Linked DNA regions of Lepisosteus oculatus. The protein of the gene in region 1 interacts with the protein of each later gene in a biochemical or structural test. Links are inferred from orthologs where the notes say so. Each region holds a gene or a part of one and is shown in the gene's direction. Other genes may lie near its edges.

Region 1 (7,626 bases):
AGCAAAGCAACCAGAAGAAAATAATCTCAAAACTATAATAACATTGAAGGTATGAAAAACGATTAAATTAATTATATTAAAATATAGTGGGGAAAAAGAAAATGATAAGACAGTTTCCGCAGAACAGTGGAAGAACAGATTTCAACTAAGCTCCACCAGTTTACAAGTTTGGAGAAATTGCTGTTGAAAACATTAGATTCGGTTTTTTAATAGTCTTAAAATTCCAGCAAAACAAAAAGGAAGCTATTCACGATGTTGGATGTTAAGTGGAGAACAAGTTGCAACTTATTCAAACACATTCTGGTCATTCATGAAAAAACAACAATATTGGAAATTCATATACTGTATTTTGTGCTTACTAATATAGTAAATCTACAAATACCCTTTGAATTATCTGTTATGTATTTTGGTACTTTTACTTCTGACTACATGGAATTAAAGGATGGATATATACTAGGAATTATTTTAGCTGCTAGTAAGAACACTATCACTAGAAAGTGGTTTATTAAAGAACTCCCAACAGTGCTGTGAAGGAGATAATTCTATAAGGGAAATATAATGGAAAAGATCATCTTTTCTTTTAGGTTAGAAGCAGAAAGGTTTGGCTAATACTGGCAGGCCTGGATTGGGCTGAGGTCCCATTGTGACTTGATTTTGTTCTGTGAAAGAAGATGAAACAGCGTTTTATTTTTGCTGATTATATGTACTGTAACCTCCCATCAATGCTGGCATAACGTTATATAAATTAATAGAAATAATATTACATAAGAATATAATTAATTCATTGATTGGTTAATTAATAGTTAATTAAGTAATTAGTTAATAAGTTTAATGAGTTATTATATAAAATGAACTTGCACTACTTTGTATTGTACATGTTGTATTTGTAAATTCTTTAATTGTTAAATAAAAAGTTTAACAAACAGTTGAAGGTCACGTGAAATAAGACAAGCACAGTGTATCAAGCTAGGTTAATCGACTACAGCGTTTCCAGTGCTAGTTATGTGCAGTACCTAATGGAGACCACAAGAGGGCATCCTTGATTAAACGTCTTCTCTGCGCTCGGAAATCGCCGGCAGGGTCGCTTGTAAGGTCTCTGAAAATTAGTCAGTTCTTCAGTAGGGGTAGCACCCCGAGCGAGTGAGCTGGCATCAGTCTTGAATGGTGTATTCTGTTCCCTGTTCTCCACCGTTTCTCTGCAGCTTCCATTGTGTGGGCCTTTGTGTGTGTTTGAGCGCTGACTTACTGAATCTGTTTTGTCTTTCCCTTATAATTATCTCGATCTGGCGAATTCGGTGATCTGAAAATTACAGCTTTGAGCAGGTAAATCAGTGCGGCCCATTCGGGGCCTGTTTTTCACGACGCTTCAATCATTACTACAGGCTGTCGGACCTGCCGGAATTTCGAGTTTTGAACCAGTTCTGCGGCTTAGAAACACGCGAAACAATGAGAGCAACACTCCCCGCTATGAAAAACATGAGTCCTGTTTGTGCGCCTCGGGAACAGCGAGGAGGGGCGTGTTGATGATCTCTGTTCCGCATTGTTTAGTCCGTCTGAGTCCAGATTCCTGTACATACAGAGTGAGACAGAGAGTGAGACAAAGTGAGTGCACAACTAGCAGAGAGAGACAGAGAGTGAGACAGAGTGAGTGTACAGCTAGCAGAGAGTGAGACAGAGTGAGTGCACGGCTAGCAGAGAGTGAGACAGGAGTGCATAGCTAGCAGACTGAGAGTGAGACAACGGAGTGCACAGCTAGCAGACAGAGAGTGAGACAGTGAGTGCACAGCTAGCAGGGAGTCCACAGCTAGCAGAGTGAGACAGGAGTGCACGGCTAGCAGAGAGTGAGACAGAGCAGTGCATAGCTAGCAGACTGTGAGACAAAGAAGTGCACAGCTAGCACACTGAGAGAGTGGGACAGAGAGTGAGTGAACAGCTAGCAGAGTGAGACAGAGTGAGTGCACAGCTAGCAGGGAGTCCACAGCTAGCAGAGTGAGACAGAGAGTGAGTGCACAGCTAGCAGGGTGTGACACAGAGTGAGAGTGCTCAGCTCACTGAATGTGAAACAGGTAGTATTCTGAGATTAGACAAATATTCTTCCCCACAAACAACAATCCTAATCCCTGAATTCCCACCCCTGCCAGAATCAGAACAGCTCCCAGTCCCACTGGAGGAGGAACAGAGAGCCTCTCCACAGTAACAGGAATGTTCTGTTGTGAGTGGCTGTGAATGTTTTGCTAGTTATTGCCTTCCCAGCATCCAACAGCAATGCAAGGGCCAGGCCCAGAACACCCTTGGAATTCGAATCCGAGTGCACACCTGAGCTGTGGCCTCACTCCATTGCCTGCAGTTTTCTTACAGGGTGGGTCTGACCCTTTTAAACACACAGACACTTTGAACAGCCTGTTCTGATAGGGCCTTGTTTGCTGAGCGTCTCTTTTGAGAAGGCTTTGACCACGAATCTGGGGTTTAGAGGGCTCTGACTGTGCAGCCCTGTAACTGGGCTCTTCACTATCTGTAGGCGTCTGTCTTCAACCTACAGGTCGTCGACATTTGGGCTAATTAAGCCAACAGCAGATTTATTTAAATATTTGAGTAGTTTGAAATAAAACCCGGAAGATTCCCTAACGCCCAGGACCCGTTAAAGACCCTAATATGCGCTTTACCGGGTTTCTAAGATGCGCCAGAAATTCCCCGGTTATAAAGGAGCTCCTTCCATCCAGAGACCTGTTGCCTTTTACACCCGACTTTTACCGAAATAGGGATTTTTCTCAACCCGGCCTGCAGGAAGGGAGGCGGATGAGAGCAGAGCCGAGTCTCCTCTCTCCCTGACGAGAGGCGCGTCCGGCTGCAGATCAGAGGCCCGGCGCGCCGAGACAATGCGGCCGTTGTTGCCGGACAATCTGTCCCCATCAAAGCCGGGGTGATTAAGTCGCGGCTAGCGGGAGAAAGGCACAATGGTTCTCTCACGGAGACCAGCGGCCCCTCCGAGTCGATATAAATATCCCCTCACATAAAAGCAGCACGACAGAAAGATGTCCCATTGGTGGAAACACGCAACTTCACTCAAAGTGCCCATCGCCCCCCGGAGGGTCCCTAAGCTCTGCCCTTTCGGAGCAGGCGCTACGGGCCCGGGTCTATTACCCTGAAAATAAGGGTATCACTGCGACCCGGTGTGTTTGAGCGGAGCGGCGTCTGGCTGGCGGGACCGGCGGGCGCAGAGACATCCCACTCTCGGCCACTGACCTGGTCGGAGAGGTCATTTTGCTCTTTTGCTGCCATCCTCACTAAAGCGCACCAGCGCCTTCACGTCCCGAAACAGTTCCGGGAGTGGGGGATGAGCAAGACTACCCTCACCAATTTCTACCCTAATACGGTTCAGAGTGTCCTGGCCGGTGGTATTGCGGTGTGGTACGGTGGAGCCACAGTACAGGACAGAAAAGCCATACAGAGGGCTGAGAGGTCCGCGCAGAAAATCCCTGGGACCGGATATATCTCGACCGCAGCCGGGCTCGAGCTATACTTCGGCACCCAGTTCACCCTGGCCACGGTCTGTTTTCACCCCTGGGTTCCGGTAGGAGGTATCGCAGTATCAGAACACTGACCAATATATTCAAAAAACAGTTTCCTCCCCCCCAAGCAGTCCGCATCTTAAACACCTCAAAGTAGCACCTGCACTTTAAGGTACTGCGCTGTTTGCGCTATGTCCTGCCTTGGCTGTATTATAACGTCTATTTTCTCAATGTATTGTCCGTGTTTGTCATTTCTGCCTATTGGTTTTTCCTCCACAGCTGAACGAGTAAGCGTTCCAATCCACTTGTTGTATCTGGCAAATACTAATCTTGAATCTTGAATCAAGGGAACCCGAGAGTGATGACTTTTGCCGTCATTTCCAAAAAAAAAACAACAACAAAAAGACACTTCATTTGATTACTCCCTGTGACATATATATATATATTTTAAATCGCCTACACCTTTGTTTTGTAGCCTCACAGCCCGACGGACCCTGCCCGCCGCCTCAGCCACGATTCGCAGCGCTCCCACGACGCTGGTGCCGATTGGCGGCTCGGGGCAGCGGCCCGTCCAATCAGCGCCCCGGCTGCGCTGTTTTATACTAAGGGAGTGGAGCGGGGGTGTCGCGCTTCACAACTTTCTGGATCAGCTTGTGGCGGATCGCCTCGGACCGCCGCGCCGAGGAGTCACCGGGAAGTCCGTCGTTACTATTACTGCCCGCACTCGGATCTGTTGTTGTTGTTGCTGCTGCTGCTGTTTCTCACCCCTGTCAGTCTGGGGTTACCAGGTGACACACGTGAGAGAACCTGCCTGCCGCCGTCAGTCTGGAACCGAAACCAGTTCAGGTGGATTGAGGGTTTTCCGCTGTTCTCTCAGGCTGCGAGGCAGGCACACCTGGAGACGGGCACATAGATACTACGGGGAACAAAGAATACACCAGGAAGCTAAAAGCGGATAACTCTTGGAATTCGGTCTGGGAACGCACTTTGCGAGCCTGGGATCTAGAAGGGACGGGAGAGGGGAAGAGGGAGTCGGGACACAGCGTCTGTTCCGGCTCGACATGCACCCCTGACCCGCCCGGCCCGGCCACTCCGCTGCAGTCCAGTCCAGTCCAGTCCGGGCGGATGGCGCTCTGCCGGCAGGTGCTCGCAGTGTGCCTGGCGCTGCTGTGGACCGGACAGCCCGCTCGCCCGCAGTCCCACGAAGGTAAGAGACCTGCCGTCCCGCACGTCCTCGTGCCCCCCCCCCCCGCTGCTCTGCGCTCCGCTCCGCGTGCCGGCTCTGTGATTTAGTAGCGCTGGAACCCACACTTCCTCGTGCGGTCCGCATCCACCTGCCGCCCCCTCCCGGGGGTGACCTGGCCCCCTCCCGCAAAGGGGAATGACTCGGGGGACAGAGCCAGGCGTCAAAATCTCTCTTCAGTGACACAACACTTGACCTTTCTAGCAAAAAAAGAAGGACGCGTGTTCCCCGGAGGTGGGTGCTCTGCCGTTCCCGTCGTGGCTGATAATGTTCCGGGAATGGCGACCGGTAAAGTCCGTGAGTCGTCAGCGGGCCCGGCTGGCTTGGTGTGTGCTCTGTGTTGTGCCGGGTGAGGCAGCCGGGCTGCGGGACAGGCTGACGAGGCGCTGCCGGGGGGTTCCCTTGAGCCCCGGGTTTGACAGTTCCCCGGGAGCTCCTGAGCCGTCACTGCCCGCCCCGCGTCCTCGGGGGGACCTCTGTCTGACTCGGTATGCGAGGAGGTCTGACAGCCGTGGCCTTTGTACACGTAAACCCACTGAGAGGTCACTGACACTGGGGTCACTGACAGAAGGGCTGACGGACGGAGGGACACCCCACTCTCAGACGATAGAGAACCGGGGGCCCGTGTGTCCACATGAACATGGGTCTCGGAGAACTCGTGACGGATCCTTCCACTCGCTCGGTAAACCTCTGGAGCTATCGTGTGTGAGAGCTGTCTGGATTTCAGCCCATCGGTGTGTCTGTGTGTTTATCAGTGTGTTACTGTGTGTGGTTCATCAGTATGTGTGTGTGTTTATCATTGTGTGTGTCTATCAGAGTGAGTGTGTGTATCAATGTGTGTGTCTGTAAGAGTGTTTATCTGTGTGTCTATCAGAGTGAGTGTGTGTATCAGTGTGTGTGTCTATCAGAGTGAGTGTGTGTATCAATGTGTGTGTCTATAAGAGTGTGTTTATCTGTGTGTCTATCAGAGTGAGTGTGTGTATCAGAGTGAGTGTGTCTATCAGAGTGAGTTTGTGTATCCGCGTGTGTGTCTATCAGAGTGAGTTTGTCTACCAGAGAGAGTGTCTACCAGAGAGAGTGTCTACCAGAGAGAGTGTCTATCAGAGAGAGTGTCTACCAGAGAGAGTGTCTATCAGTGTGTGTCTATCAGAGAGAGTGTCTATCAGTGTGTGTGTGTCTATCTATCAGAGAGAGTGTCTATCAGTGTGTGTGTGTATCAGTGAGTGTGTGTATCAGAGTGAGTGTGTGTGTCTATCAGAGTGAGTTTGTGTATCAGTGTGTGTGTCTATCAGTGAATGTGTCTATCAGAGAGAGTGTGTCTATCAGAGTGAGTGTGTATCAGTGAGTGTGTATCAGTGTGTCTATCTATCAGAGTGAGTGTGTGTATCAGTGTGTGTGTCTATCTATCAGAGTGAGTGTGTGTATCAGTGTGTGTGTCTATCAGAGTGAGTGTGTGTCTATCACTGTGTGTGTCTATCTATCAGAGTGAGTGTGTGTATCACTGTGTGTGTCTATCAGTGAGCGTGTGTATCACTGTGTGTGTCTATCTATCAGAGTGAGTGTGTGTATCACTGTGTGTGTCTATCTATCAGAGTGAGTGTGTGTATCAGTGTGTGTGCTCAGCAGTGACAGACCTGTTCCCTGGCTCAGCCTGTTTGCTCTGCTGCACCTGCAGGGCACATTCTTGCTGGCCTTCTCAGGCCTCCTGCCTGTGCTGAGGGGCCGATGGCCCAGCCAGTCCCCAGGCCCCTTCACTCTTCACAGCCTGCAGAGACGGAAGGTGTGTCTGGTTCCCGGCGAACTCGCAGGCAGTGTGGAGGGCAGACTATCTGGGGCCCTTCTGCGTGACTCAGCCTGGGTGGGGGCAGCAGCAGATTAATGAAGCCACAGCAATCGACTGTAGCCACTCCCTCAGCCTGGCCGAGTTTCCGGTCCGACAACTCCCAGCAACGGCCTCGCAGCGTCTGAGCAGCCCCCCCACGAGCCTGTGCGGGAGTCGGGGTTCAAGTCCTGTCCCTCACTGGGAATGTTGTCCGAACCACACCAAAATCTCCTGGCTGAGCTGCCACCGCGAGAGGCCTAGCCTCAGGAGAGGAGGTCACAGGTCAAACAGGGCCCCAGATATCAGTGACCACTGCAGACAGTGGTCAGTATGGGGGCGCCTCTCCCTCCTACTACCGAGAGAGGGGTGACGCTGGCTGCCCCGGGGCACTCTGGGAAGGTTCAGCAGGGCAGGTGTGGTGTTTGGATGTGTTAGGCTGTGCTAGGATGGCCAGTCCTAGCAGAGGTGGGTCCGAGACGGGGCGCGGAATCTGGGGTCCGACTGCCTACACGACACCTCCCTTGCTGAGCCTTCCCAGAGTGCCCTGGGGCAGGCAGCATCACCCCTCTCTCTCCAGCAGAAAGGAGAGACACCCCCATACTGACCACCGTCTGCCCTGGGAGAGACAGCCTGTGTTTTAGTCCGAGTAAGGATGGTGGCAACGCATTACGATTGCCGTGTGTGTGTTGACCCACATTCACACCTGCTCAGAGCATTATTGGGAAACAGGGACTGATGGTTTTCTATCCTTCTGCTTTTTAATAATGTAGTTTATGAATCTGTGTGTTGGAGGAATATGAACACTGAAACCTCGGCCTCTCTGCCTCTCGGGACCTTGTCCAGAGGGGTGCAGTGGGTACTCAGGGGTACTCTGGGAGTACCTTGGAGTGAGAGGCTGAGATTGTTCATGCCTGGCTCTTCATCTGGTGACAGGGCTGTTATTCCTGTCATAAAAATCTTATAGCCGCCTGCTGTAAAACTTTACTGCAGGGCTTATGTGCTGAAGTTCTGCTGGCTGCAGAATCCCCTCCTGCTGTACAGCAGAGCCAGTG
Region 2 (7,938 bases), on another chromosome or scaffold:
TCACATATTTCAACAGAACCTTTCAAGAAGGAGTAAGTCTGGAAGAAAAAGAATACAGTACTTTCTTCATGTATCAGCATGACCATTGCTGATGAAGGCACCCCAGCTGAGACAAATCACAGAGCACACACCTGAGCAGGCACCAGCTCCTGATATTTGCTCCACGAACACAGCACTGCCAGGAGCAGACTGGACCAATCCATTGTGATCAGAGGATCAGGGCTATAGAAAGACAAGGCAAATACAATAATAAAGACTTGGAGCTGTCACTCAAGTTCCTAAAAAGAAAACTAGATGTGCCTGCAATTTTTGCAAATTATACTTTAATTTAGGTTTTGATACCTGTTCTGTTTTTTTCACTAAAGTTGTAGATGCTCGGGCAAACCCTATTCAATCATACCCTGGTGATGAAATTACTTCAAACTGGAGTCTGTGCATAAGAAAAGATCTACTAGAGACTGAAACAGTAACTGCAGGAAAACCCTTTCAGATCAGGGTGAGCACTGAGAAAGCCAGACCCAGGTGTCTCAGGTGCAGACACAGCTCTACAGATCCCCTTCCCTTCAGCTGTACCTGTGCAGTGCTGCACAGACAACACTGCAAGGATAGGAACAGGCAACACTGCGGGGCCAGACACAGACAATAATAATAATTGCTTACACTTATATAGCGCTTTTCTGGACACTCCACTCAAAGCGCTTTACAGGTAATGGGGATCCCCTCCACCACCACCAATGTGCAGCCCCACCTGGATGATGCACCAGTCCTCTCCCCACACACCAGCTCTCAGTGGGGAGGAGAGCATCTATTCATAGATGGGGATTATTAGGAGGCCATGATTGGTAAGGGCCAATGGGAAATTTGGCCAGGACGCCGGGGTTACACCCCTACTCTTTTCAAGAAACACCCTGGGATTTTTAATGACCACTGAGGGTCAGGACCTCGGTTTTACGTCTCATCCGAAGGACGGCGCCTGTTTACAGTATAATGTCCCCATCCCTATACTGGGGCATTAGGACCCCCATGGACCACAGGGTGAGCGCCCCCTGCTGGCCCCACTAACACCTCTTCCAGCAGCAACCTTTTTTTTCCCAGGAGGTCTCCCACCCAGGTTCTGTCCAGGCTCACACCTGCTGAGCTTCAGTGGGCTGCCAGTTGAGAGTTGAAGGGTGATCTGGCTGCTGGCTTAAGACAACACTGCAAGGATAGGAACAGACAACACTGCAGGGCCAGACACAGACAATACAGCAAGGATAGGAACAGACAACACTGCAGGGCCAGACACAGACAACACTGCAGGACCAGACACAGACAATACAGCACGGTGCCAGTCCATGGCTGTTCTAGCTCTCCTTTTGAGTCACTTTGCTCTTCTTGTCCCAGCAGCCCCCCCGCCACGGGGATTACTGGTGGAGCAGAGAGCAGAAAAGGAAATGACTTCATCCCAGAGGGGGGGCTCCTGAGGCAGGGGCTGCCCCACCCTGTGATTCCTGCTCATCCCAGTAAGAAGGACCACGTGACCAGTCCCTGGACAGTCTGCTGTTCCACACTGCATCGCCAGCAGCACAGCTATCAGGCTGATGAGCACCAGAGAGCAATAGATTCTACAGCCCCACATCTGCAGTGAGCAGATCAGATCACTTTATTAGCCCTATACAATTTCTTGCATTAGGAATTTGTCTTTTCACACACCCCAGCTAGCTCTCCATGAGACACACAAACAGGGAGAGAGAAGCTTGGGGTCAGAGCACAGGGTCAGCCATTATACAGCACCCCTAGAGCAGCTGGGGTTAAGGGCCTTGCTCAGGGGCCCCACACAGTAGGATTCCTCTGCCAGCCACAGGATTTGAACCAGCAACCTTCCAGCCATAGGTGTAGCCACAGAGCCAGCACTCCGCCCGTTGTGATGGTACAGTGTGGCGGCTGCTGTGATGTGCAAGCAGTGCGTACAGTTATACAGTCATACAGTGATACTTAGCCAGTAACAGGCTGTGATTTTCCCAAGCTGTGACACACAGAAAAGACCATATTCAATTATTCATCAAGTTGTTGTCTTTGTAATAATGAAGACTCAAATCCATTATCCCTTTATAAATGATCTCACGGCCTTGTAGTCTCTAAGTACACATGTAGAAAGTGGCGCCTGGTCTGCCCTGTGCCTCGTTCGACTTCTTATTGTTTTTTTTACACAACAAAAATGGAATTTTCTTCACGCAAGTGATGACGTCCCCAGCGCCAGTGGGGTCCTCTTTCCGTAGCTCGAGAGTACCACCTGGTGGTACTGTGTCTGCATTACACGTGTTGTCATTTGGCTTTTGAGGTCGTGTTGTTGTTTCCTTTGTTCCCAAGTCCTTATTTCGCGTGATTACGCAGTTGGCTCAAAATTAATGTTGTCGATTTTTCCCAACAAAACACAGCAATTGAATGCAGTTCATCTGTTAGTTGTGTAGTTCAACACTTAAATGTATCAGAAATCATCCGTCTTTTCCTATCTTGTTGGCTACATTACTCTGCTCTCCTCCCCACTGATAGCTGGTGTGTGGGGAGCGTTCTGGCGCACTATGGCTGCCGTCGCATCATCCAGGTGGGGCTGCACACTGGTGGTGGTGGAGGGGATCCCCATTACCTGTAAAGCGCTTTGAGTGGACTGTCCAGAAAAGAGCTATATAAGTGTAAACAATTATTATTATTATTATTATTATTATTATTATTATTATTATTGTTGTTGTTGTTATTTTACAATGAAGGTGCTTGAATACAATGAGTTCACCTCCAGTGTGGAGTAGAGTATTTCACAATATATGATTCTGTACAGCCCATACCCTTGGACGGAGTTTGGACCTCACACAATGCTTGTATTTAGGGGTGCAATCTAATTACTGGGGTTTAACGAGACGCACAGAAGCCTGGGGGAATTTTATGTATTTTGTGTTCATGCTGCTCGTAAGAACAGGCATTAACCCCAGCTGGTCCAGGGGCGCCTTATAAATCCCCGACCCTGCGCTCTGACCCCCAGCTTCTCTCTCCCTGTCTGTGTGTCTCATGGAGAGCAAGCTGGGGTATGAGAAAAGACAAATTCCTAATGCAAGAAATTGTATATGGCCAATTAAGTGATCTTATCTTATCTTTCATCTGACTACCTCTAAATCAGGAACAGGTAATAGCTTTATTCCATGCTGAAAAGAGAAGAAAAAAAACAACGTTTCGGCTGTGGAGCCTTCTTTAAGCCTTCTTTGGCTTACACCCAAAGAAGGCTCCACAGCCAAAATGTTGTGTTTTTTTTTCTTCTCTTTTCAGCATGGAATAAACCTTTTACTTTTTCCTTTGCAACCTACGCATGCTGACGCAGTTACCCACCTGAACTCCCTCTAAATCATACGTGTTCTGCAGTGATGTAAGATTCGATCCCTGTTCTACTCCATTAAAGGACTCATTACGTAATACAGCAGGTGATCACATACAGGTACTTTCTTTGTTCTGTACAATGTCTCGATTTTTCTTGTTATTGTTACTGCAGGCTCTAAAGTGCTCATCGCCCAGTCTTAATCCTTCCAGCGGCGCAAAATGACAGAATATAATGAACACAGCTTGTTGTAGTTTGCTGTTGCAGTATTTCTGAAGGCCCTTCGTCCAGTTAAATTAGTTCAGAGCCCATCTGGAATGGGACCAAGAGGACACTGTGACCTGGATCAGTGTGGAAACATATCTTAAAGAAGCTGATCGCGGACGATGTGGAAGGCGATTACGTCTGTCCCGTGGAATTGTTAATTATTAGTCTGATCTGTGATTGCTCCTGCAGTACAACTAAGGCAGCGGGGCTTGTTCAGATTAAACTGTCTACAAACGGAGCCACAATTTGTTAAAGTGTGTGGTAAGTGGTGGACTCTTTCCTCATCCCAGTCCCCAGGAATTGATTTATCTTGAGAGGGACGAGAGACGAGAAACTCTCCCAGTAAGACTGTAACTGAGACCCCACAGCTGTAGCAGCGTAGATCGCGGTGGGATCGGACGGATTTTTCTCGTGCGTCAGACATGAGTCACCTTGTACAGCTCTCAGACGAACTCCAACCAAAATTAGACACACAGCAGCTACAAGTGTGGAAAAGTTCACGCAGAACACAAACGGGCATTATAAATCTCCTCCGGTTTAGTATTTAAGATTCAACTGTGTGACTGTCGAGTAATGGATATTATGGCTACAATCTTAATACAAGTACCCATATTTTACAAGCGTTTTAAAAGTGTTCAAGTGTACCTGTATTGAATTTAAATTAATTCTGCGTTATTTCCTGTAATACTGGGAATTTATCCCAATTTTATAATGAAACGCTTTGTGTATTTCAGTTGCTGCACTACAACATCTCTATAGAGATTGCACTCCTGTTGTTATTAATCTACTGTTTGTCACTACAATGACACATCAAGAACAGAATCTCGCTCTGCGGGCAACTTCTCCGTTTCTAAGCATTAATCACGACTGGGACAGGGTTGCAGGCTGTACCGAGGCTGGATGACTGGAATCTTCTCCCCTCCTAGGATTAAACTGTGACTCAGAGATAACGGCAGAGGTAACGACACTCCGCTTTCTAAGGAGAGAAGGCAACACTTTCTTGTTGGATTGGGGGAGTGATGTAGAACTTCAGTCATTAAAACTAAAATTCAAAACGGGGTCTTTTTTCTGGAAAATTGGACGAACTTCAAACATGAAAAAATATAAATAATTATGATAGCTGAAAATGTTTAGTAGGGTAAAAGAAAGAGTTCAAAGAAAGGGTCAAAGGGTTTTTCTGTTTCATGTTTTGTTTAGCGAGTGGGATGAATGAGTCGAGCGAGTCTTGACCTCATCATCATGGTCGGGCGTGTCCTCCGCGTCCGTTGTTCCCGTGACTAACCGCTGACCTCATATCCGGTGAGTAAGGTCAATTTTTATCCCAGATCCGCCATTTCAGTTTTTTTTTTCCTGGAGTTTCTTGGGAGAACTTCTGAGATTTGAATCGGAAAACTTTGGGGTAAATCTTTGGCGAGACTGGCCGAATTGCCCGTTTTTGTGTCGGCGGAGGATCTGGCCCTTCGGATCTGGTGTTTTTTTCCGGGCAGCGCGGCGCGGATGTCGTGCATTTTCTGAAGCGGATTCGCCTCAAGTTAAAGTTTTTTGTATGAGTTGGCTCCTGCTTGCGGACAAGGAGAGGTGAAGGGTAGGCCCCGAGATAGCCGCGGTGTAGTAGTGGCAGCCATGGCCGGGAATTTTGACTCCGAGGACCGGGTGAGCTGGTACTGGGGGAGGCTGAGCCGGCAGGAGGCGGTGTCCCTGCTGCAGGGGCAGAGGCACGGCGTGTTCCTGGTGAGGGACTCGATCACCAGCCCTGGGGACTACGTGCTGTCCGTCTCGGAGAATTCAAAAGTCTCCCACTATATCATCAACAGCATCAGCTGCAACAACAGACAGTCGGGCACAGGTAAGCGGGCAGGGCAGGGGGCTCGGTCCCGGTGCCCCTCTCGGGCGGGGGCGGGGGCTGGCCGCAGGTGGAGCCGGGGTGAGGATGCGCGATTCCCGCGGGTCCCGGTGACCGTGTGAGGAGATGCTCTCCAGTCCCGGAGTCGCGTTAGAGGCGTCTTGGGTGCCTTATGGACATGAAGATGAAACCGTGTACTGACGCGAGGCCTTGTTTCTACCCCCTACACGCGTTGTACCCCCGGCGTGACAGGAGCCCGGTGGGGCACCGGGGAGCTGGGCGTGAAACCCCGCACATGGCGCCCGGGCTCAGCGGCGTCACCGTCCGCGGGGCGCGGGAGGAGGGAACCCCGAGCGTCGATTCCTCTAAAGCCCTCTTCTTTGGGGAGACCCCCCAGGGCCGCTCACCTTGGGGAGCCCCCGAAGGTCGAGGGTCCTGTGCGCTGGCGTCGCGCCCTGCGGAATCGCACCCGTCGCGTTAAGGGTTGCACCCGGATCGGACTGGTCGTGTGTGCGCTGACTCGTATTGACAAGTCTCAGCATAACCGTTTTCTCTTCATCCCCGTTGAAGGACCTGAACGTGGCTTCACCGGGTCTCCCAGAATACCGGCGTCTTAGTACGCCGCTGCTTAATGTTTGTTGATCTGGAGGGTTACTGCATTGCCGTCGTTTCACATCAAACACTTTATGCTGATGGGTGCGTCTGGATGGGAAAGCGAAACCTGGTAACAGAAGTCGTTCAGTTTTGTGAAGAGACGTATCCAAACTTGTGTTTGCAGTGAGATCCTCCTGAAGTTAAGGTGAGCCAAGGCTGAGCCCGTGTTTGGTGGCGCTTGACTTTGTAAGGTGGTATGATGATGGGTGCTGGTGGAGCAGAAGTCCGACTAGCGAAGACATTGTCTCTGGGAGCTGCTGGCTGGGTCCCTGTGGGGTCAGTGGAAAGTCTTGAGCGCTGCAGCCCGGCTGCACATGGGCTCCTTCACAGTGAGCCTGGCTGAAATTGCCTGACATGGGGCAGAGAGGAGCTGATGTTCTCATGGGGCAAAAGTGAAGCTGTTTTTTCCAGCATTGCAGAAATATCTCTCTTTAAAAACTGGTGCTTTCGCAGCGGTGTTAATGTGGCTCGTGCAATGCAGGAGAATCGGGCTTAATGACCCAGGAAGGACGAGTGCAGTTTGCAAACAGCGGAGTGATCGTTCGTCCGATGCCAGCAGAACCAGCCCCAGGCTCAGTTGCTCGGTCCTGCCCAGCGATGTGCCCGGGCAGAGTCCCGAGTGCGGAAGGTGGGCTCTCGCTGGCTGGGATCAGGAGAGCTGATTGTGCCTGGGCTGGAGCGCCCTGTCTCTCCAGGGCCTGCTTTGTGTGTTTGCCTTCGGATGAATCATTAAACCGGGGAGTTTCTCAATCCGGGAGGCGGAGTGGGAACGGGGTGGAGGTGTGTGCCAGGAGAGAGGGGCCGCGATGGCGGCTTGTGGGGGCTGCCAGCGCGCCCGGGTGGCGGACCGCTCCCCGCCCGGCTGAGCCACGCCTCCTCCGGGCCCGATGAGCGGACGCACACGAGCCCTGCAGCCCCCCGCGTTGCCCGGGGATCAGCGAGCGCGGGCGCTGTATCCTGCGGGTCTCTGCCAGTGCTGGGGTGCAGCGACGCTGGGCGTTGGGGCTGTTTTACGGGAGCAAGCTGTCATCGGGATTCAGCAGGGGGCGATGCTTGTCCCAGCACTCCCAACAGGACGTGTGCATGCAAGCCGTGCCCTTTTTTTACTGGTGAAACTGATCCTTGATCAGAGATTTTGGCATTTTCTTCAGCTGTAGTGCTGCTTGGCGCTGCAGGTCTGGCACCAGTGACTGTCCAGCCTGTGCTGCCTCTGGGAGGCTGGCCAGCGAGTCAGTGAAGTGGAAGAGCTGCCTGACTCTTAACTGCCGACTTACAGCAATGAAGAAAAGCCCAGCAGTCTCTGTCATCCCCCTCAGTTCTTTATAGACGGCTTTTCCTCCCCATTGAGGAACTGCAGACGCCTGATATCTGATGGTGGCTGTCGGCTCGTCCCTGTGCGCTCACCCTGCTGACAGCGCGCTGGTTGTGTAGGGAAAACGGCTAAAGAACTCTTTGATCATCTAGAATTGTCTCGTCTGAGCCCGCGCCGTGTCCTGTTGGATGGGGGATCGGAGAAGTTAGCAGTGTGAGGCCTGCGCTGTTATCCGGGCTGGCTCAGGACTCAGCCCTGCGAGTGTATGGATTAAAGTGCCTGGGTGTAAGCCGGCCTCGCTGGGTATCCCAGTGGTAATGGAGGAGCAAAAATACTCCCATTGTCTTTGCTTGACCGCGTGTCTTATTTCGCACAGGGAGTCCCCTCGTTTGGCTCTCGGGGGCTCAGGGCGTCAGTGGTCTCTCGGCAGGCTGTGTGTTCCTGACAGAGCAGCGTTCCTGCTGCCTCGTTCTCTGGTGATTCATCCCTTCCATTTAAATCCCGGATTTCCTCCCCTCC
Region 3 (7,795 bases), on another chromosome or scaffold:
GCCAAACATTCCAACATACTTTTACACATCAACACCACCTAAATCCAATTTGTTGTCACATTGGTCACATTACTTCAGCCCAAGTCCTGAAAAATGTTGAATTAATTAATTTTTATTAAGCTTTAATAATATGAGGAAAATAAGGATAACTGCCTTAAGTGTCTCCCTCCATCACGTCCCAGAATACAGAAAACTATGAATGAGTAAAATAGAATGAGCACATACATAGAACAGCTGTATAAATTACCAGTATCTCCAGAAATGGTTTGAAATTTTGTTTGACCAGTACAAGCAACATGATGATGAATTTATAATACCACTTAAGGAATATGCATAAGCAAGGTGCACTGTCAGACTGTGATAAGTCATGACTCTTGGCACCAGTCACATTACTTCAGCCCCTGTGCCAAAAAAAATCTTAATGAATTCATATTAATCAAAAGAAAAAAGTGGGTATCTGGTCCAAGTGTCCACTGCCAATGCCCTTTCACCACACCCCAGATTACAGAAAACTATTTATGAGTTAAATAGAATACATAACAGCCGTAAATGCTGCTTAAAAATATGCATAAGCAAGGAGCATTTTCAGGCTGCAATAAGTAACAATTCAAAAAAAGAGAAGAGGTGTAAAAAGATCAGTCGACAAAAACATAAACTTTAAGCTTTGCAGGTTCCAAGGAATTCATACAAGATAAAATGTCAGCCATTGAATTGCTTTCCATTCACTTACCTCATAGTACTGAGAATACTTTTTAATGTTTGATTAAAGATGAACTTTATTTCATTATACTATTAAACAGTAGGGCACTATGATCATTTTAGTTGACTTTTACCATTTCTTTAACTTAACAAACGGTATTTTATTGTTCCTAAAGCTGTGGGTGTGGACTACCGTGACACACCTGAACCTTTACTGAGTTGGTCATCAGCCCTGGGGGACTCTCAGTCTGCTAAGGTTATAGATCAAGACGACTAAACCAGAGGCATCAGTGTGACAGGGCTCAACCTTTGTTCTGTGATATGTGTTGACCATTAAAGGCAGCCGCTTATCTAGAAACACAGATTTTCTGCTACAGTACCATTAGTAAACATTTTCGCCCAGATATAGCAAATGTCAGCAAATCAAAATTATGATTAAGCAAATCAAAATTATCATGAGACTGCTGGTTGAAGGTCTTCCCTCATACATCAAGGACACCAACCATGCGCTCCAACTTTTTAATGATTTTCAATTTCAGGGACCCGAATGCTACATTTTGTACCATGGACATCACATCTCTTTACACCATCATTCCCCATAACGATGGTCTTACAGCCCTCAAGCACACGCTGGACAAACGCACAGCACTTGATCCACCCACCCACACCCCGGTACGTCTTGCAGAATTGGTTCTCACACTGAATGCATTCTCATTCAATAAATGTCACGATCGTTACTCCTCCTCTTAAGGGCACTCCAGCCCTTCCTCGTTCTGTCCCATTCCCCACACCTGTTCCTTATTCCAGCCCCTCTTTAGTTCCACTTTTAAAGCCAGATGCAGGCGACTGCTCGGGGCTTCACATTAATTTCCGCATCGTGAGAGCCCGGGGTCCTGCTGCATCTGGCTCCGTTATGGTTTTAGTTTCCTGTTCCTGATTCCCTGTCCCGCCGGTCCCGACCCAGTTCTGGTTTTTAATTACTTTGGATGGATCCCCTGGTCTTGGACTCTGCTCCCATTTTGGATTTCCCTTTTGGATTTATGCTTGGATTGTTCGCCCCGGACTCACTTCCCCTGGACACCTGCTCACCTCGGACATGCCCCCCTGTCTCCTGACCCACTCCTGCATGATATTTTTCCCTATTGTTTCTTCACCTTCCGGATCGTGTCGTCCGCATAGGGCCCGGAAAGAACTGTTCCTGACAATAACCTTTTTTACCAACAGGTAAGTGGAGTTGCCATAGGCACCAGAATGGGACCCAGCTATGCTATATTTTTGTTGGCTGGGTAGAAGAACGCTTCTTCGCTTCCTACACTGGCTATGTCCCTGATCTCTACAAGTGATACATTGATGACTGCGACAGTGCCGCCACATGCTCTAACAACCAGCTTGAGCGCTTTTTGCATCATTTCACCAACTTCCACCTGTCCCTGAAATATACAGTTAACATATCTACACTACTCTTCCATTTCTAGACATCAACTTCTCCATCAACTACCCCCGACTCTCCACTTCAGTCTATTACAAACCCACAGATTCACACAGCTATCTCCTGTATAAGTTCAGATGGGTAGCTGCGTCAGTATGCGTAGGTTGCAAAGGAACAAGTAATAGGTTTATTCCAGGTTGTTCCTTTATCTCCTGTATAGCTCATTTCACCCCAAACACACTAAAAATTCTCTCCCTTTTTCAAAGTTCCTTTGGCTACGACGATTATGCAGCGATGACATTGACTTCCAGAACAAAGCCCTCAAAATGTACTCAAACAACTCAATCAGGAACTCCATCCATAATAATCGCATTTGTATGGTGCTTCCCTAGAACTCCAACACACTTCCTATCCTCAGGACTATTAATGACAACTTTTACATCCTACAGGATGATCCCTCCATTGGGGCCCTCTTTTCTGACCGCCCCATCATTTGATATCGCCGAGCACCTAATCTGCGCAACCTTCTTGTTCACAGCTCCCTTAACCGCCCTCAGCAACCATCCACACCAGGCACATTCCTGTGCAACAGAGCTCGCTGTATCACTTGCAAGTACACATCTAACACCACACTCATTAAAAGGCCCCTCAGGACAATTCTGGATCACCCAGATGACATCTTGTACCTCCAGCAACCTTATTTACTGTATATCTTGCAATAAATGCCCAGCCATCTACATTGGAGAAACAGGAAGGAGACTCGGAGACCACTTCAGAGAACATGTCACGGTTGTGAAGATTAAAGATCTCTCCAAGCCCATTGTCTCTCATTTCACCTCTGACGGCCATGACCACTCTAATCTTTCCGTCTGTGTTCTCAAAGACAGTCTTCCGAACTCATACATCAGAAAGACTTCAAAAACCAAAACTGCAGCTAGGATCACATCTTCCCCCTTCAATTAATGACAGACTACTTTTCTTCTAAATTCTCTCTATTCTATCCTGACTTCACACCTCTTGATTGGCCTCTCTTTCTGTCCCCTGCTCCCGCCCCTCGCTCCTCCTCTCTCCCAGCTTTTGTTCTCCTGCTACATCACCTTTGCTTACTGCCCTGTCTTTCTCACACCTGAAGAAGGTTCCATGGCTGAAACATTGTGTTTTCCTTCTTCTTTTTTCAGCATGGAATAAACCTATTACTTGTTCCAAATCAAAATGATGCCTGTCTGTGGGAGACTGACACTGGGACTGGGAGGGTGTGAAGTGTACGCGAGTCACTGAGGTTCCAAGGAAGGAGGACAACCACAATGTATTGAGGAATGTATCCTTAAAGAATTCATAATAAATGCACATATTTAGTTGTGTTACTGTTAAAGACTTTATTATTATGCACTTCACTACACACTCTGGGCTTTCACGGTGCTCTGGGAGTTCTACATAATTTATGAATCATACATTTTAAAATATTTGGCCATCCATCTTCCAATGGAGGATTCAACATCAAATACATTTTTTTTTCCATATACAACGTTCCTCTCCTTTGGAACTTCTGGAGCTTAAATCATGAAGTGGTTTTGCAATTGTTCAGCTGGTTCGAGCTCTGCAATTCTGTTCCGTGCACTGAAAAAGCCACATGAAGTAAAATGAAAAAGGAAAAAGAAATAGTGGAGCAAACAAGCTCAAGTTTTGATTTGACTGTAAATTTATCATATGATGTAGAACAAAAAATAAAAAAGAGATATGAATAAACAAATATAAGAAACATACAGACATACCCCCCCCCCAAAAAAAAAAGAAAATCAAGAAAGTGGACGATTTATAGAAAACAATAAAACGTTCAAGTACTGCTGAAACAGTATTTATTGAATGTGATGCCTTACACCTTTTGAGCCTACAATACTTTTTAAGGAACCGTTCAGTAATTCTTTTAATTTAGTACGTTGGACATATAGAAAGGGTTAATTTTTCCGAACTGCGTTACCTGTGTAAGAGCTTGTCGAGGAATGAGATGGAGAGGTTTGCCGAGACCGAGGCCCTTTGAAGCCGTGCTCACCTGCAGGGGTGAGCCGTTTGAAACAGCAGGTGTCGCTCTGCGTAAAGCATTGCGCGACTGACGGTTCCTCAGTTTTCCACATTGAACCGTTCGGACAGTAATGATATTAAAAAAACAAAAACACTGCTCAAAATATCTACCTTATGAATACGACTTTTATGTTGACGTACAGTATGAGTTGAAATTCTAAAATATGTTTTCACAATACATCATTACATATATAAGATATATAATATACCTTTTAGAGAAATATACAGAAACGAACGTGTCTATAAAATACGAAAATAACAATTTCATGAGCCATAGCCTTATCTCGATCACCTTTTCAGTTATTAAACCTCGTGTGAAGCCCCACATAGTTCTTTTCAGTATTATGGAGGTAATGCAGCACTGACGTCCTGCTGTCTATTTAGCAGAAGCTGAGCAGTGGATGTGACCTGAATGCAATTTATGATATAATAATGGAATGAGCCGCAAAACACATTGAAAACAGACTTTCAGAAACGAAGCCACAGAAATGTTTCATCTGCATTTTCTCAGCCGGTCCAGCACTGCTGTGCAGTACATGTGCGATTTTTTTTTATTGCGGATACTCAGTATTGTTTTGTCTTGTAAGACTGTGCCGTAAGGATTATGCTTCTGGTGAAATTTTGTACGCCTTTATTTTTGCCATGATAAGTCACGCTTGGGTTTTTAAATAAAGTAATAGTTATATTGCATTTCCACGGTGTAATTCCGATTAAATAATCTATTGTGTTTTAGGTTCAAGCAGAAGAAACTGTGCAGGCAGGTGTTGCCTGACACGTCAGGCGCGTTCTTGAGGGGAACAAATACAGAAGGTATTTTATTTTACAACGGCGAAACAAAATAGCCTACCTTAGGTAATTTCTTTTCTGGGGAAAAAACATGCAGGTAGGTATCCGTTCAACAAGCAGATATCTAAAGGACAGCCTTTATCGCAGCCTTTCTTTACAGTGAAGGTGGGAGACGTGTTTAAATACCCGACCCAAAAGCTTGCTAGCACGATTGAATTCTCTGGGCAAAGGGAACCCGGCGGTTGTCCGCCAAAGCTATTGCACTGTGAGCGGCTGTCTCAATAAATCGCAAATAAATGGAAACCCTGGGTTTCAGAATTACTTTCTAGCAGAATGCAGTGACAGGGATTTTAATCCAGTATCATTACGCCGTTTCCGGTTCCTAGCTGGTGTTTCCCCATTGCAAACTCTTGAAAAAGCAGCATATCCAAATGGCATGGACACTTACGCAAGGTCTGCTGCTCAGCCGTGCTACTGGAGCCTATTTGCAGTCTCCTACTTCAACTCAACTCCATCATCATCACCCAACAGCAACGAGAGCACTGCAGCAGCCCGAGCAGCGACCACAGAGCCAAAGCAGACGGCATGAGGCTTGATTCAGTACATTTCTCCATGCTGGTCATCGGGGTCTCCTTCGCCTGCTACTCCCCGAGTTTGAATTCTTTGCAGGACCAGGCTTACAAATCAGCAGTGGTCATTGAAGGCAAGGTGCAGTCGGTACCTGTTAATGTCTCCAAGGAGCCCTACAGTGTGAATGTCAAAGTACTGGACGTGTGGCCCCTCAACAGTGGGGGTCTAGAGAGGGATCAGCTTGTGACCATCGGGGAATTTGGATCGGAGGCTCCGTGCACCAAAGTGAAAAAGAACCACAAATACATCTTTTTCATGGACCCAACCGACGAGCCGTTAGTATTCAAGGCATCGTTCGCTCCCTTAGACACCAGCGGGAAGAATCTAAAAAAAGATGTTGGGAGGATCTTGTGTGAAGACTGCGGTAAGTTTATTCTTCTCTGTAGTGAAAGCTCCCCGTGTTTCTGTTTGCTGTATTGATATTGCCCGTGGACACGTTGAATTGCGTTTAATAGCCTATTGAAGGCTTCCGTGTGGTTAAACCACTGCACTGGTTTTCCTAATAAGGTTAAATTATTAGTTAAACTGTAAGTAACAGATGGGTGTTTGTGGGGCGTCTCTGCAGTGTTGATATAATTAGAAATGTTAACATCTTTGGGTTTATGTAACATTACATATCTATTATATAGATAGATGAAGGGTAATTCTAAACACGTGTGTTATCACAATTATTTAATCTATGATTAAGGAGAAATTGAGAATTGTAGCTGCAAGTTTTAGGATAAATATTTTAGCAATTGTCTTTTGTAGCATTTTCCTTGCAACAGAAAACGTGCACTCAAGGGCTGTTTGTGCGGAAAAAATGGTTAATATATTTTGGGTGATGCAGTATGCTGTAGCAGCTCCCATTGAACGGAGCAGGCTATGCAGTTACATCTTTGAAGACCTTTCCAATATTTGCAGGGCAATGTGTTTGTGATCCCCTCGCTGTGTCTTCTGTGTTTCTGCACGCTAGAGGCTGATGATTTTGTTTCGGTAATTTTGCATAATCTTTTTTTTTAATTACCTAAAATCGTCTTAACTATGAGAGTTGATACTATGCTGCTATAGTAGGTACTATTGTAAACGAAGTTGCAGCAGCTATTTTCCTAATATTGTACTGCTATGCGTATCGTAAACGAAGACGCAGCAAGACTGTTGTATTAAAATGATAAAGTAGTGTGGAAGATTTGTGGTTAATGTACTTGTTGGAGAATGTACTGATGAACTCTGTGCCTTTCGTTGATCCTGACGTTACCCATACCTAGAATAAGGCTGTCATATCAGTGGTTAAACTTAATTTGGGGTATCTGTAATAACAACAGAGTCACAGTGTCATATTTGCTGTCTTGCGTTGCTGACGAATAAAATGATGTTGACTTATTCCCGATAATAGGGATTTATGCAAATATAAGCATTGTTAGACCGTTGATGTGGTGATAGAAAGTACTATACGACTATTTGATCTGGATTAAAAAAAAAAACATGCCTGCATTCCAGTGCCTACAGTGTTGAAAACGTAACGTTTGCTGCATAGTTAAGCCTTACCGTTTAATATTAATCATGGTGAAGGTAGCACACATTTCATGCTAAAAGGTTCATGTTACCAACTCTAGATTTGTGTAATCGTTTGTTATGAAGGGGGAGCGGTTGGGGGATCCTGGCCGCTGCAGTTGAAAAACAATTCGCTGGTACATCACTTCAGACATTAGCAGTTAATATGAAGAAATATAGGTTGCTGAGATTTTAATTACCATGACCGAAAACCATAATTTTATTGTGTTCCCCCCGATTCTAACAGCTTTTATCAGGTTGAACAGTTTTCCACTGCAGCGTTTTACCATTCCTAATGAATTCAATACGCATCATCTGAAACATGTTTGCCTTTGCAATTATCAATAATACAAACATACATTTAATCAAATGTACTCTCCCATCAATTGAGACTTATTGAAACAGTCATACTAAAGATAAAAGGTGAAGGCAGTCCTTTTAAGAAACACTGGCACTTTACTGGAAGATAGTACTTCACAAAGGATCAGAATAAGGAGTATTTCTCACAGTCGAAGATGTTTGTAGAAGCAAATACCAAAGACAAATTATACATACCAGTGTTAAATAACCTTCATGTCTGAACTGAAGAGATTGTACAAAATATTGACCATAACCTATGAAAACAGTTGTTTGGGTCAT
Region 4 (7,890 bases), on another chromosome or scaffold:
TCAATTTACCATGCAAAACAGCACACCTTAGTAAAACAGGACTGAAGACATGATGAAGAAAACTGCTATGAAAAGTTTCTGATTGCTTCATCAACACTTCCCAAAGTGGTGAAAGGAAAATGAAAGGTTCACTCAGAAACACTTATACTGTACATTATGGTCTAGTCATGCGGTGTTTACATTACAGCTGACTGATAATTAAAAATGATAATCAAATCACAATCTTCTCATACTCTTGAGCGGTGACCTGTCTTGAATTTAAACTTCATAGCTACTGTATATAGAGGTCTTTACTCTCTAGTGGGGTTGGCACTCATACCCTGATTAAACCAATTTAATGAATCTAACCTACAAACCTATGTCCAGTTCAGTTATTCTTGAACACTTGTCTTCCTTTCACACTGTTCCATTTAATGACTTTTTTACCCACTGTCAGAGAACATGTTGCATCATACTGCTTTGAGATTTGGCAAACTAGTTTGACGTTATTAAAATCTCAACATGTAAATGACATTAGCGTGTTAGCAAAAGGATGAATTATTGTACAATGATATCACCCTCCAGAATTTGTCTATTGTTACCTGAACATCATCCTTACACAGCCGGTTTATATTATATTGTACAGCTATTCTGTAACGGTTTATTTTTACTTAACTATTAATTATCAACTTAAAATATATTGACAGAATTCTGAAGACTAAATTTAGAACACAGAGTTAGATTTTATTAAAATGTTCCCACTTATGTTTTCTATGACAAAAATAATATGATATGCCATATCATCTTACCCTTAACATAGAAATTTAACCTTATTTGCTAAATACTAAATAGAAAGTACACTTATCACATAGAAAACACATTTTCCTATCGGTGCCATTTGCAGCACATTATCCAATGCTGTTTACATCTGTTTATTTCACTCATTTTAATTTCAATAATATTTCAGTTCACTCAGAGTATCTGAACATGTATAGACACATGGTCATGTTAATTAAATATCTGCCATGCATATTACATTATATTACAAAAGAAGATAAATATATTTGTAGTTTGTGGCTTGCTTCAATTCCATCTGTTATGAAACACTGGATTAAAACTAGACTAATTTACAAATAAACCTCTTTTCTGTTCTATAAGACACTAAAACTTAATGCACAGACAAAAACACACCAAACATTAAACAACGCAATTTACCATCTTATTTATCATGCAGTAAATTGTATTGTTAGATAGAGTAACATTATTTTCAGTTCTATGATTGCCAAAGGGAAATGCTGTCATAATAATTTGAGGATGACTTTTTTGTTGTCTCTATGATATTGCATTTTGCACTTGATCAGAATATCAATTGCACACACAGATGAGAATCAAAGCGACTGAAAGAGTTTTTTTATTCTTTCGCTCAGAAGTTTTCAAATACAGTGACCACAGCTGTCATGAATGAGCTATCACAAGCAGATCACATTCTTGTGTTTCTCAGAACAATACAAATGCAGAGTAAAATGTGGTTAGCTGGAAGTGGCTGAGTCCAAACAATTCTATTAATGTCTAGTCTTGTATCAGAAAGAATGTCAGAGTGTATTTAGCAGTAAAGGTATTTATTACACGGGTGGAGAAATTCACACTCCCAATCTTTTTACTGCTGTCACCTGTAATGGACAGTGGAAAACCCAAAGCAGTTTTCTGTTATTAAATATGTTAAACAAACCTGGATTTTTTTCCCACCATAATTAAATTTTCATCCCTTTCTGGGACAATATAAAGCCTGCACATTTTGGGCACAATCTACAAGCAAGCTGTATAATGCTGAAATTCAGGAATTCAAAAAATCAGAATAACAGCATGCTCTCTCTATACATATCTGGATTTGTTTTTTAATATATTTTTCTTTATTTGAGGAAATCTTTAATATCCCAAAGGTGCCTGAATATGCTGATAACTGGGAGCTGTCCTATCCTATCTGTGACGCATTGAGGAACTGTTTGCTAATGATTATGCTAGAAATATACATTATGGGGGCTGCTGGTTGAGGTGGTGTCAACATCCATCTGTACCTCTGTGGATCACATTTCATTCACTGCTTTGACCATATTCTGACCATGCAACAATTCATGAATTTCAGGCATTCAGCAGGGCAGCTGGAGAGTTGGCTGGAGATGCTGAAGGCATACAACTTAGAAATTCAACATCAGACAAGAGAAGAATATCTGAATGTCTATTCCTTTCCCCAGATTCTACAAGCTTTTATTTTTAGGGTTAAAAATAAAATGGACCAGAAAATGGGCTATCTGGGTCAGCTGCAACATTACCACCATTGAATCTACCACCTCAAAGATGTAGAGGGCTTGAAGGAGTGACAAGCGAGCAGCATGCAAAGGGCAGTCCTGTTCTCCTCTTCAGCTGGTCCTAGTTGGTACCCTGGTGCAATAGGTCAGTGGTGATGATTACCCATCTTAGGGAGCATGCATTTCTTCTTGTGGCCAGGAACAGACATACTGTACCACATTGCACTGGGGCATCATTGAAAAGACTTTCCTCATGGGGAGCTGTTGTGTGGGCTTATTTTCTTAAGAGGAGCCAGGGCAGCAGCCGCAAGTTGGTTTCCACCTTCAGAACCATGCGTAGTACTGGGATCCTTGTGCTAAGGAGTCAACTGCGTACAAGCATCCCAGTTCGGCTGGGATACAAGCTCTACAAGCGGCACCTTGATCCACAGTTGGGTGACTGAGAACCTTAGTGAGAGAACAGCCATAGAGATCTTCCTCCTCCACTGAACATGGGACTTGTTCCCAGAGGACCCCCTGCCATTACTCACCCTTACTGGTTTCACTGCCAGTGACCCAGAGTTTCCAGCTGCAGGATCACCAAGGAAATATTCCCAGAAATTATCAATGAAATTCATGTAATCATTTTTATTATTGAAACTAAGAAGAGGAAGGTGGTTCCTACTTTAAACCAGGCTTTCGGCTTTCTAGGATGCACTTCTTGACAGAAGTGTGGAACAAGTTACCTGCAGTAGCGGTACTGTTGAAGACAATTCTGTCACGTCTTTTCAGAAATGACATGATCAATACCCTTGGATCAACCAGCTTTTATTAATCAAATGAGCTACAGTATTTGTAAACATTCTATTTGGGAATTAATGTTTTGCTTGAGAATCATTCTTACTCAATGAAAACAAAGAAACAAACAGCAGCCATATAACTCTGCAACTCACAACTGGCAACCCACTGAAGCTAAGCAGGTGTGAACCTGGTCGGTACCTGGATGGAGACTTCCTGGGAAAAACTAAGGTTGCTGCTGGAAGATGTGTTAGTGGGGCCAGCAGGGGGCAATCACCCAGAGGTTCATGTGGGTCCTAATGCCCCAGTATAGTGAGGGGGATGCTATACTGTAAACAGGCGCCGTCCTTCAGATGAGACATAAAACCTAGCTCCTTACTCTCTGTGATCATCAAAAATTCCAGGGAGTTTCTCGAAAAGAGTAGGGGTGTAACCCTGGCGTCCTGGCCAAAATTCTCATTGGCCCTTACCAATCATGGCCTCCTAATAATCCCCATCTATGAATTGGCTGCATTACTCTGCTCTCCTCCCCACTAATAGCTGATGTGTGGTGAGCGTTCTGGTACACTATGGGTGCCCTCGCATCATCCAGGTGGACACTCCACATTGATTGTGGTGGAGGGGAGTCCCCATTACCTGTAAAGCGCTTTGAGTGGAGTGTCCAGAAAAGCACTATATAAGGGTAAGCAATTATTAATCAGCATGTTTTTCAACAGTGTATATAGTATCTGGGCGGTATATCTTTGGCAGCTCCATATTTTGAGCCATTGTATGAAAGAAAACATGACAAATTGGGTCACATGGCATGGGAAAGTGATATACAAGTGAGTTTCAAATAGTCCCTTAGCTAGTATCCACCCCCTTCTAGTTACAGTATATCCCATTTTGATCACTTTCTATGTAATTCGATTGTATCCACACTTTTGAAAGAATATTTTAAATTAAAAACTTGAATGTTAAAACCATAAATTTGGGGGGGGGGGGGGGTGGTGAAAGAACTTTTAAGTATTCACCCCCTGAATCAATACTCGGTGGAAACGCCTTTGGCAGCAATACGTCTTACGACAAGCAAGGTACTGTTACTTATATGGCTATGCGACTGTATCAATGGCCCGTCTTCTATATAAATTCCCAGCTTGGTTGAGACAATTCGATCAATTATCTACTAAAACCCAAATAAGACAGAAAGGTAAAATGGCCTCCCCTTGTTTCTAAACATTTTTAAGATGTACTTGAAGTTTGTTGTTAGTATACATGTAAATACTGAGGAAAATTGTTATTATTAAAGAACGATTTCTAAATTAAGTTTCTTTCTTTTAGTGTAACTTTTGGAGCAGCTAATGAGTGGTTAACAAGTGTGGAAGTTGATATTCTTTATTGAATGGCAATATTTAAGATGAAAGAATTATATGTATTTATATTTATATAAAAAGGAATATATATAGAAAAAGCATATTTTTGTAGTCGCATAGTTGCATTAAAACAACAGATTCTTGGGGGATTTGAGTTTTACTTCAACTGATACTGTATGTTTATTGCCTTCCGATGATTTATACTAATGGCAGTCATTTTGTATTGAAGGGCTTGCTCTTTAAACAAGGAGCAAAATCACTGCCTATTAAACCCCATTAACACCTGCTATAAAGCTCAATCTGGATGGATGACGAATTCTGAAAGTACACGGCTAAAAGCCCCCAGAGTAAATTAACACTGGCGTTAAACTTCTTAGTGGTCCCGCTGGATCTGAAGCGTATTAATTTCGGTGAGCTTTAAATTAAAGTTGAATATATCCTATCGTTTTTAATACCGTCGAAAAACGTAAGAGACACATTTAGATTAAAACGCGTGCATCTCAAAGTCTATAATCTTGCTGTCGCTGACTATCGCCAGATAGGTCCGGAGACACGCAAACGAATGTATAATTAATCGTAGAGAAGAGGGAATCCTCACACACATGGCTTTAAAAGACTTTTCTATTCAGCAACTCCGCCTCCCTGGTCTCCGGCGGCAGCAACTGCGGCTTCAGCGGCAGCACACTTGTTTTAACCATTGAGCGCAGACTGCCCTCTTCGGAAAACCTGCATTTTTAATTTTCACCAGCTTTCACCTCATCCAGCCCCCCTCACTTGCACTTTTCATTCGCACATTCACAATGCGAACCCATCCTGCTGCACTGCACGGCCCATTCACAATTCCTTTTCTTTGCGGGATTTTTGTAATGTTCGCTTTCTCTCTGCATGGTGTTCCCTCAAGCAGCCTCGCTTGCTATTTCTCTCCCACTCCCACTGTGGACTCGGTGCAGGAGCTGGCGCACCGCTCAGGAGTGGTCGTTGAAGGGAAAGTACAGGAAGAGGGACTGGAGAACGACATTAATCGCGAGGAGAAAGAGCGTTTGCTTCGGGAACGAGCGAGGGCGAAAGGCAACGAAACCCAGGGGCAAGAAATGGAAGAAAACGGCGACGCGACGGAAGAGTTGTTATCCAACAGGACGACAGGCTTGGAGCCGTACCTGCTGAAGGTGAGGGTCCATCAGGTCTGGGCAGTGAAAGCCGGAGGTCTGGAGAAAGATTCCATTATATCCGTCATCTGGAATGTAGGAGAATACTGTCTCACGCTGAAGAAAGACAGCAGGTATATTTTCTTTATGGAGCCTACAAATGACACCTCTGTATTTAAAGCAGCTTTTCCACCCGTCGAGACCGGACGGAACGTGAAAAAAGATATCAACAAGGTTCTTTGTGGAGGATGGGGTAAGTGCTGAACTGCCTATTAGTTGATCCAACTTTTCCACTATGCGAACGGTAGACACGTGGAGCTCACAGATCAAGTAGTAGAAACAACATCCTTCTGCGTTCGACCTGGAGCGGTGTCTAAAACTTTTAAGAAGTTTTAATCCTTTATGTTCAGCAGTCTCAATAGACGTTGTTTTAATTGATTCAGATTGTCAGTTTGAAATCATTAAACCGCCAGAGTGCTGGACTCTAGAATAATATAGAAATGCGTTTGATAGGAGGAGTTGAAAGACTTATTTACACATTTCTTGCTCTGATAACGTGTACAGTCTGTGTGAAGACTGTTCAGGGATTTTATTGCATTGTTTTCGAACAATCCGGCTATCGATCTACAGCTGTGGAAGGATGATTTCAATTAGTTGCCTACTTCTTGATTAAAACAATTAATTACAAAGTAAGTTTGGCTTATACCTTAAAATGCCGTATCCAAATCAATACCACGATAGTGATAGTAATAGTAATCACAATAGTAATCGATTTGTGATTCTGTACTTTTGTGTTAGAAGGCACGATTAGAAAGCTTAGATATGAGTTGTAGTCTGTGACGCATGGCGGTCTATCATAGTTCTGTGGAGGATTTATGATGATGTTGGATAAAGTCGCTGTCGCCTGAAAAGCTTGCATTACTTTTTACTCACATTTTAGTCCTTCATTTTTATTTTTTGTATAAAATTAGTATATTTTTAATGAAGCACTGTACTTAATACCCGTATCTTATCTTGTTTTCTAACCCATGATTAGGGTTCAGCGCAAAATAAATTGTTGTATATACACCTTTAAGCGCAAGCGATTATTATGAGCAGGGTATTTGGAGGTCTGTTTGGAGCCTTCATGCGTATTTCTTGCTCTTTTCGAAACCTCTGAATTCTATTGCTACCATCTCAAATCTCTGACAACTAAAAGCTGAAGCCTTTTTAAGGAGTATAACATGTCTCTTTTTATCATCGAGAGGATTGCGGATAAAAATGTATTTTGCCTACGGTATGTATATGTAATTAATAAAATGTCCAACGTAAAGCATCTGAAAACTGTAAAAGCTAGGGCATTGTATTACCTGAACGCACTGTGTGAACGCTTCACATCCTGTTTGAGCGGTGAGGACTGAGGGAGCTCTCCACTTTCCGTGGTGCTGAAGACTTTGATTGACAGGGGATGCCCGTTTCGGTTGTTGATGGGTGTTTCCTGGGAAAAAGAGAAATCGTTGTTACAGAGTCCGTGTTATTAATTTATAATAGCCTGAAATCCTCATGCGATAGCTTGTAGCTATTAATAGCTAGCGCTACTGTACCAATCTTCCGATACCTTTATTGAGACTGGCTGTGGAAAAGTGTTCAAAAAATCACCGCGGTGAAACAAGACAAAAACACGAATGAATGCGGACATTAAACATGTAGTTAATGTTACGTAACTGGTCATGTGCAGTGCGTCATGTTTTATTTTTATATTGTAAGAGCTTAACATAGTGAAACTACAGAATAACTGAACTATAAATATACTAAATATAGATGTGAAGATTAAGATTAAAACGTTAACATGTTCTTTCGCTATCACAAAAACTTAAAATTATAACTGTTCATAAGGTATTTACAATGTTTTAAAATCCAAAATTGAATGTACAAAGGATATATTTTATTTAAACACTCATTTTAGTTCTGTTTAAATACTAATTCATTAAATCAAACAAGATTAATTCTGCACTTCAATTATAGTCTTATCTATCAAATTAGGTACCATTAGAGTGGATTAATTGTTCTAAAACGTTTCTAAAGGAGAGTTTTGTGATAACAGTATGATTTTGATGGGCGCACAAAAAGATGTGATAAAGCAATTTCAAGAGCAGTTTAACTCGGCATATCTGCAATTCACAGCTGATAGCAGGCTAACCTTCCAATAAACATGCAAATCTGATATCAAACCGAAGACAACTGTAGGTTAAAGAAAAGTCATTTCTTTTATTGTGTGTGGTGTTGCTTTGAGGAGTGTCGTATATTTTCTTTGTAAGGTTTTATGGTCACACCCATATACTGAAGGTGTTA

Evidence for each region.
Region 2: the proteins of receptor tyrosine-protein kinase erbB-3 (region 1) and crk form a complex in vitro, tested with the Homo sapiens proteins (2 studies listed by BioGRID and IntAct, with this or other methods). The link is inferred for Lepisosteus oculatus from reciprocal best matches to the Homo sapiens genes ERBB3 and CRK.
Region 3: the proteins of receptor tyrosine-protein kinase erbB-3 (region 1) and pro-neuregulin-2, membrane-bound isoform form a complex in vitro, tested with the Homo sapiens proteins (2 studies listed by BioGRID). The link is inferred for Lepisosteus oculatus from reciprocal best matches to the Homo sapiens genes ERBB3 and NRG2.
Region 4: the proteins of receptor tyrosine-protein kinase erbB-3 (region 1) and nrg1 form a complex in vitro, tested with the Homo sapiens proteins (8 studies listed by BioGRID and IntAct, with this or other methods). The link is inferred for Lepisosteus oculatus from reciprocal best matches to the Homo sapiens genes ERBB3 and NRG1.

What each region holds. Positions count from the first base shown.
Region 1 is NC_090696.1:14,628,479-14,636,104, forward strand, and holds the start of receptor tyrosine-protein kinase erbB-3, read left to right. Parts: upstream 1-4,626; 5' UTR 4,627-4,634; coding exon 4,635-4,716; intron 4,717-7,626. UniProt on the Homo sapiens protein: Tyrosine-protein kinase that plays an essential role as cell surface receptor for neuregulins.
Region 2 is NC_090721.1:11,081,626-11,089,563, forward strand, and holds the start of crk (adapter molecule crk), read left to right. Parts: upstream 1-4,930; 5' UTR 4,931-5,233; coding exon 5,234-5,456; intron 5,457-7,938. UniProt on the Homo sapiens protein: Involved in cell branching and adhesion mediated by BCAR1-CRK-RAPGEF1 signaling and activation of RAP1.
Region 3 is NC_090706.1:42,064,423-42,072,217, reverse strand, and holds the start of pro-neuregulin-2, membrane-bound isoform, read left to right. Parts: upstream 1-4,786; 5' UTR 4,787-5,578; coding exon 5,579-5,987; intron 5,988-7,795. UniProt on the Homo sapiens protein: Direct ligand for ERBB3 and ERBB4 tyrosine kinase receptors. Concomitantly recruits ERBB1 and ERBB2 coreceptors, resulting in ligand-stimulated tyrosine phosphorylation and activation of the ERBB receptors.
Region 4 is NC_090698.1:27,192,616-27,200,505, reverse strand, and holds the start of nrg1 (pro-neuregulin-1, membrane-bound isoform), read left to right. Parts: upstream 1-4,881; 5' UTR 4,882-5,214; coding exon 5,215-5,812; intron 5,813-6,908; exon of another isoform or gene 6,909-7,036; intron 7,037-7,156; exon of another isoform or gene 7,157-7,229; intron 7,230-7,890. UniProt on the Homo sapiens protein: Direct ligand for ERBB3 and ERBB4 tyrosine kinase receptors. Concomitantly recruits ERBB1 and ERBB2 coreceptors, resulting in ligand-stimulated tyrosine phosphorylation and activation of the ERBB receptors.